Linked DNA regions of Diceros bicornis minor. The protein of the gene in region 1 interacts with the protein of each later gene in a pairwise test. Links are inferred from orthologs where the notes say so. Each region holds a gene or a part of one and is shown in the gene's direction. Other genes may lie near its edges. The genes, in order: RNF111 and UBE2W.

Region 1 (3,914 bases):
CCCCGGGCCGCCAGCAGCGGAGCGTGCACTTAACCGCTAAGCCACAGGGCCTGCCCCTGGTTTATTATTTTTTTAAAACATTTTCTTCACTGAACAGTATGGAGAACATGAGTGCACAAAAGAAAGGGTATTGAGAAAGCTAAGTTGATGACAAAGGGAGGGAATTAATGTTTATTAAACACTTAATTGATATGTGACCTTCAAAGCATTATATAAACTATCATTTAATCCCACAAGAACCCTTTGAGGTAAATAACATAGCTCAATTTATAGAGGAGGAAACTGAGATTTTTTTTTTTGGTTTTAGATATCATTTTATTTCTTTTCTCATTGAGGTGTAACTGACATTTTATCTCTTTTCTCTCTTTTTTTTGGAAACAGATTTATAAAGCTCTAATAAATCAGAGAGCTGTTAATTGGCATCACTAGGATTTGAAAGGAAGTCTGTCTGACTGATTCTAAAGCCTACATCCTCTTTACCTACATCCTCCTAATGCACGCAGTGAAGCATTTGCTATCTACTGATTTTTATAAAATAATTAAGAAGGCGTATGTGATTGTACAGTCAGTTCCCAAGATATCTATTACCACTTTTGATCTGATTCTTTAAGCAAATTCACCTTAACAGTGAGGTACCATTATCTTTACGTCACTAGCGAGTATGATGTGGTATCATTTGTTGTGAAAGACACTAAACCATGTTGTTTTTGTTTAATTGTACCGTTTAAGTATAGTCAATAATTTTGTAGTTAGTTGTAATTTTTAGTTACGAAAAAATTAGCCAAAATGTAGTCAGTATTTTGCTTAATTACGGAACGCACAATCACCAAGGAAAATTAAATAACGAGCTTCATGACACCGCTCGGCTTCGCCCACAGACTGACACAGCGAGTACAAATGGGGAGGTCCGGGGAAGACGGGGCGGGACAGTGAAAGACAAGAATCTGAGCAAGCGCAGAAACAAACAGATGTTAATAGAGGCGTGAAGGCTGCTGCGCTCTCGCTTTCCGAACTGTCGTAAAGCCCCGAGTGTCGTGCTCGCTCCGTAGAGGAGGGATTGGTTAGGCGGCGGCAGCGCCGGCGGCGGCAGGAGAGCAGCAGCAGTGGCGGCGACGGTGGCGAGGTGTTCGGTCTGCGCAGCATAGAAAGGCCCGCAGCGTCGGGGAAGGAGTTCCTGTAGGACCAAATTAGGCATTCTGACCACAAGCCCTGTGAGCTGGGCCGACCCAGGCGCTGCCGCTCGTACAGTTTTGGTGGCGGTGACAGACGCTGCTCTTGACTATAGGGGCCTGTTAGGCCGAGATCTGAGACGCAGATCACTGGCTCTCGACGCATCCTCTTCCCTCCTTACATCTCGTGTCTTCCTTCCTGGACCAGTGGTTCCCGGACCCTGGGAAGAGGGTGGCTAATGATTAAGGTGAGGGGGCCAGGGGGGAGGGGATCGATTGGAGGCCGCGCGTGCGCGCAACGGGGGAGGGGCCGGCCCGGAGGGGAGAAAGAGGAAGGGCTGCGGCCGCGGAAGGCTGGGGTCCGCGACCGGCCGGTGATTGCTGGTTCCGCAGTGACTTAGGGTCTGGGTCTCCGCAGATTTAATTGTGTTTGAGCAAAGCGTTTGTCTGCGGACACACCCACACCCCACAGTAGGGGAGTGTGGGTGGGGGGATTTCTTTCCCTTTTTCGACTCTCCGTGGAGTCTGAGGATGGGGGCTGAGGACTGAGGCGTGGGAGCGCGATTTGACAATGGAGCGATGAAGGTAACCCGCACCCGGGGTGTTGGAGGGCGCTGGGTCAGCTCTGACGGTTAGGGAGTTGCCTTCTTGTGGGCTCAAGGAAACGTAGTCCGCGGAACAGCAGAAATATAGGCGCGTCAGATTTTGTATAGAGTTGGCCTGTTGGTCATTAAAAGGAGCTTGATATTTTTATTATCGATATATTTATTATCAGAGTCAGTGGCCATGCTGTAGTGGAAATATCTATTCTATACTGCAGAGATAGAGGTTTGTCACAGTAGTTTCTTAAATAGGTTATAGTAGATCTTCACAGATACTTCTTAATGCAAGTGTAAGTTTTAACGTTTAAAAAAATACCAGGAAGTGTAGGGTATTCATTTAGTTTGTTCATGTTTGTAGTGTGGGGTGACTCCATTGTATTGTATGCTTTCCTGTTTCTTGATTTACGTGCAGTATGAGTTTAGAACTCTCTCGAGTGGTGAGATGCCAGCTGACAGACTTCATTTGATTGTTCTTACAGCTTTTGAACCTGACTTAATCCTAACTTTATTTCATTTGATATTTTATGTTTAGTGTTCTGGTGTTAGGGACCTCTTCAACCAAAAAGAACAGACTGTGGAAAAGATAAGCTAAGGTTCTGTTTCTTTTTCTTTTTTTGTTTTTTTTGTGTGTGTCATTGCTTTCATGTGTTAGAATGTGGTTTCGATATTACATAGAAGTTCTATAATACTGGTTTTACTTTGCTTTATTAGGGTGAAGATCTACATTTTGATAGTTTCTTACTATGTTTTTTAGTAAAAATTTTCATGTCAATATAAACCATGTGGTTTTTCATATAAACAGTGGGCTTTGGTTGTGTTTGTGAGACAAAATAGATAGGATGAGAAAGAAGCCCTTTTATTCTGAAAATAATCCTAAATTTTTTTTTTAAGTCTTGAATTATTTTGCTTTTATCCATCTCTTGTCAGTTAACCTTGGACAAATGACATTTCTCTCCTGCTCATTTGTTTGCTGCCTAAGATTCAGAGTAGTATTCTAAAGAACTGGTGAGGGTGTTTATGAATTGGTCTAAACAATGTTGTAGGAAAAACTAGGAAGAGTAGAGTCTCTCCTACCCCCTCAGGGGTGCTGTGTCTTGTGTGTGTGGATTCTTCTGTCATTTTTTTCCTTTTGATTGGTGTCTTTTGGTCACTTGCATGTTAGTTCTTTCACTAGAGTTGGTTTTTGAAGAAAGATATAATCAAAATAATTTCATTTTGGTGAAAAAGACATTATAGTGGAGGTTGCACCTTGACAAATTTCACTTCGATACTCTATTTCTACAGATAATTGAAAACTAGCTATGCTGATGTTTAAGAGAACAGCAATTTACACGTCTAAAGCAAAGGAATAGTCAGCAGATATTCCTAAATAGTTATTTTCATTTTAAAATTTAAAATATGGAGTAAAAAACTATTGAATCAAACCGATTAGGTTTTTTACAAGTTTCTTTTATTGTTTTGTCAAAGAGAGTTTCTGTAATATGCTTTACTTGGAGCGTAATTATACGTGGCCCTGTTTTGACTTTTCTTTCTGTGGGCTAGGACTTCAGTAGGTTAAAAAAGAAAAAAGGGGGGCTGGCCCCGTTGGCGTAGTGGTTAAGTGCACATGCTCTGCTGCTGGCGGCTGGGTTTGGATCGGCCAGGTTCGGATCCTGGGCTGGCAGCGATGCACTGCTTGTCAGGCCATGCTGTGGCAGCGTCCCATATAAAGTGGAGGAAGATGGGCACAGATGTTAGCCTAGGGCCAGTCTTCCTCAGCAAAAAAAAAAAAAAAAAGAGGATTGGCATGGATGTTAGCTCGTAGCTGATCTTCCTCACAAAAAAAAAAAGAAAAAAGGGACAGTACTAAAAATGATAGTAGTTAAAGTATATTATAACTTGATGTTAACATTCTGTGTGACATTGTCTTATGAAAGAGTATAGGGCTAGAGACAGGAGATCTGGATTTTAGGTCTAGCATTGCTTGCTATTCATTAGATCTTTGACTTTATTGATAACCATCCTGGGCTTCAGATCTCACTCAATTGTTAAATGAGAATTGTGGGATAGATAACTCTAGTTTTCTCTAGGTCTCAAATTTAATGGTTTATATTTTTAGTTAGGTGTTTTGGTATTCATTGTTGTATTCATCATGATCCAATCC
Region 2 (3,914 bases), on another chromosome or scaffold:
AAAGATGCGGCTTTTAAAGATGCCAACATTTATCAATGTTGGCAGATCTGGTGCATTCCCAGAATAAACCCTGTATCCTCAGCTTTCTCTACTCAAATACACCCCTAGGGTGAACCACCACAAAACTGCCCACCACGAAATGGCCTGAAGAGAAGTCTAGATGTGACAGAAGGTGTAAGTGTATATTATAACGTGACACTGGTACATTAAAAAAATTTTTTCACATCCAGGATCAAATCTCTAATCAAACACCAATGCCAGAATAACCATAACTACCACTGACACACGTTAAGTTTAAAACTGAGGAGCTGCGGTAAAGGGGCGGAAATCGCACACAAACGAAAGAAAAACTTCAAAATTTTCTCTTCCCTTTCAGGCAAGTTTCAGCTCTTCAAATCTACTCTCGCCTTTAAAATACCCAAGTGCTGTTGTGCTCTCAATTCTCATCCCGTTGTAGAAGGAAATCTGTGTTTCTCTTCCCCAAATTAGGAATATGAGAAGTCTTCCAGGTCCTCAAAACCTGAAAGCAGCCCCGCGGGAAGTTTTATCTGGCCCAAGGGTGTGAGAGGGGGCATGGTCGTGTGGAAAAGACATCTGAGGGGAAAAATCCGTAAACCACACACCTGTGGTCGGAAAAACAAAACAAAACAGAGAAAACCCCTCGGGCCCAGACATCATCAGGATGTCGGAGCAGAGACAGAAAAAAAAACAACGTCCGTGTTCAGGTCAGAACCGGAGCGGCGTCCCCTAAGCGGCCGGAGCAGCCGGCGGGCGAGCCCCCGACGCCCTAGAGCCGGCTGTGACCGAGGGTACAGACAGCGCCATTTACCGCGCCCCCACCCGCCCCTCCCCCCCGGGCGCCAGCCAATCCCCTAGCACCATCCCCTTCCCATCGCAGGCCCCGCCCCCGCGCCCGGGATGCTGGGCCCCCGCGGCGTGACGCAAGCACGGCGGCTCCGCCCCCTGCGTCTCTGGCCTCGCCGGCCTTGGGGGGATGGTTCCATCATGGCGTCAATGCAGGTGAGAGGAGTTTGCAGCATCTGGGCGGGCGAGGGAGCCGCCGAGAGGATGCGACCGTCTCGTCGGGGGCGGCGTCTGGGACCCTGGGGCACCCGGGCGGGTTCGGGAGCGGCCCTCGTGGCCCGTCCTGCCTCAGCCTCAGGGCGTTGGGGAGGGGTGAGAGGCGGCGAGAAGAAGGGCGGGGGTGGGGGGGTCGCGGTCGGTCGAAGCGGACACCCGCCGGCCGCGAAGTTGGGGGAGAAAGAGGGCGAAGGGGAGGAAAGGGCCAAGTTTGGCGTTGGCTGGGCGGCAGTGGTCTCGGAATCCCCTCCCGTTCACGCAGGCGGCCTCCCCGCCCGCCCCAGGGATGCCTTTTCCTCCGTGGTCCCCGGCCGGGCGGAAACAGCTGCTCTCGCCGTTGTCGCCGGGGCAGGGGCGGCCCTGAGAGGGGCTGAGTGTGGGGAGCTGAAAAGGCGTTCCCCGAGAAGGCGGCTGGCTGCAAAGGCGATTCGCGGCCTCCGCTCAGGCCTCCCACGCCCGGCCTCCGGACCGCTCGGCCCCTCGGCTCTCCTCCCTTTGACTCTTAATCCTTTGCCCCGTGGGTACCTTTCTGTATCACCTCCGCACCCTCCACGAACATTCGTCCCCCTTTCTCACTGTCCCCGAAGCTGCCCTTAGTCCATCGACATCATTGGCCGCCTAGTAGGCGATCTCCCCGAGAGCCGAGTCACCAGTCCCCTTAGACCTCCCGGGATAGCTCGCCCTCAAATTTTTTTCCCTGCTGTGCCCCACCCTTGCGGTCGCGGTAAGGCTGCAGCCCTTTGCCCTTCTTCCCCAGATCTTTAGGGGAACCTTAGTTTGGTAGGAAGCGTTTGTTAACTCGTGTTGTATCTGCCTGACTTGGCAACGCGTGGTTTTCTGGCTTTGCTACTTAATATACTCCTTTTTTCCAAATCCAACGAGTTTGGTTTTTTTCAGGCAAAGATGGCAACCACAGTTGCAGTTTTGTAGAGATTGACTCTGCATTATCTAGAGCTTGCATTTAATTTACAGATGAAGACTAGCTCTATCGAAACATATAGGAAGAGAAGGAAGAATTGTCGTTTGGAGTGGCAGCTGAGCGCCTTTTAGAGTTTTAACATTTGCTTAACAAGGAGACCACGTTTTTCTTAGAAGGATTTTGTGCTTTTGTTTCTAGAAGAATAAGCAAGTCTCCCTATCCACCCTCCTTGTTTTTTTCTTTCCTAGACGAGAACAGTGTTTTTCTTTCATCTCTTCTGTTTTCTGCATCTTCTTCCTCTTTTGTGCACGTTTGCTTCACATTGACTTCTGTACTTTTGTGTTATCCTCTTTCAACCTGTTTCTCATAGAATGTTCTTTTTACAGTTGCTTCTCCGTCTGGACTTCCTTGCAGAATAGGGAAAAAAAATTGTATATAACATTCCTAGTTGAAGAGATGTCATGAAACGATGCAGAGAAAAAACAATTTCAGAAACATTACACTTGACACTAGTCTCCACAGAGACGTTAGAGGAGTTTCGTCATTTGAGGCTAAAAAAGGAACTGTGGAACAGTAGTTGAACAGTAGATGGGCTATATGACCAGTTTAAGATTATTCGTGTTAAGGTTAAAATTATTTAAGACTAACAATTAATATTAAAATCCCCAACACTTGTGATTATATTTGACAAGAGAATTGTAGGGATAGCTAATTAGCTGGTTAGATTTAGACTTCAAGTGTCTGGAAAAGGCAGATTTTAATTTTTAAGAGAAAAAGCTGAGTTGGCACAGAACTTAATGTTGATAATCTTGAATTTTACATGGCGACTTAAGCAATGGAAAACAATACTTGCCAGTGCAATACTGCATTTTTCTGACTGTCTTATCACCCTTTTATTCCTTTGTCTTTTGATTAGAGGAATAGAAAACTGATGTTTCCTATTTTAATTAAAATAAAACTAAATCTTTTATTTGTATTTTTTAAATATCTGATAAAGATTTTCTGATAGTATCTAGAAAAATATATATATATATATTTTTTTTTTGTGAGGAGATCAGCCCTGAGCTAACATCCGCCAATCCTCCTCTTTTTTTGCTGAGGAAGACGGCCCTGGGCTAACATCGGTGCCTATCTTCCTCCACTTTATATGGGACGCCGCCACAGCATGGCTTACCAAGCAGTACTTCGGTGCGCGCCCGGGATCCGAACCAGCGAACCCCGGGCCGCCGCAGCGGAGCGCGTGCACCCAACCGCTTGCGCCACCGGGCCGGCCCCTAGAAAAATATTTTAATATAGATAAACTTTTTGAAACACAGCACTACTTTCTGTGATTATTCTGTGTCTGGTGAACAACATTTTTTCCTACTTAGTAGTAGAGTTTAACTCTTTTCAGAATGACTAAGTTACACATAAAACTGCAACCAAATTATGAAATTTGTTCATTCACTCATGAATTATTTTTTGAGGGCCTACTATGTATCAAGTACTCATCTAGGTGCTGGGGATATGGCAGTGAACAAAAGCAAGATTTCTGCCCTTGTGGATATAGTAGTCCAATTGGGGGAGACAGATAAGAACAAAATATTTGCTAGTTGCACATTATATTAAAAGGTGATAGTGATATGGAGAAAAAGTGTGGAAGGAGGTTGTGAAATGGATATTTTTGGGATTTCAGTAGAGCACTTAGGAAAAAGTACACTGTACATGAATGCTGCTCTGACCATGTCCTTGCCTAGAAAGTTTTCAGTAGATTTTTTTTTTTTATAATTTTTATTTATTTGTTTATTTTCCTCCAAAGCCCCAGTAGATAGTTGTATGTCATAGCTGCACATCCCTCCAGTTGCTGTATGTGGGACGCGGCCTCAGCATGGCTGGAGAAGCAGCGCGTCAGTGCGGGCCAGGGATCCGAACCCGA

The links.
Region 2: the proteins of RNF111 (region 1) and UBE2W interact in a two-hybrid assay, tested with the Homo sapiens proteins (2 studies listed by BioGRID and IntAct). The link is inferred for Diceros bicornis minor from reciprocal best matches to the Homo sapiens genes RNF111 and UBE2W.

Annotation. Positions count from the first base shown.
Region 1 is NC_080744.1:54,052,786-54,056,699, forward strand, and holds the start of RNF111 (E3 ubiquitin-protein ligase Arkadia), read left to right. Parts: upstream 1-1,077; 5' UTR 1,078-1,417; intron 1,418-1,540; exon of another isoform or gene 1,541-1,754; intron 1,755-3,588; exon of another isoform or gene 3,589-3,914. UniProt on the Homo sapiens protein: E3 ubiquitin-protein ligase. Required for mesoderm patterning during embryonic development. Acts as an enhancer of the transcriptional responses of the SMAD2/SMAD3 effectors, which are activated downstream of BMP.
Region 2 is NC_080772.1:25,347,116-25,351,029, reverse strand, and holds the start of UBE2W (ubiquitin-conjugating enzyme E2 W), read left to right. Parts: upstream 1-918; coding exon 919-1,020; intron 1,021-3,914. UniProt on the Homo sapiens protein: Accepts ubiquitin from the E1 complex and catalyzes its covalent attachment to other proteins.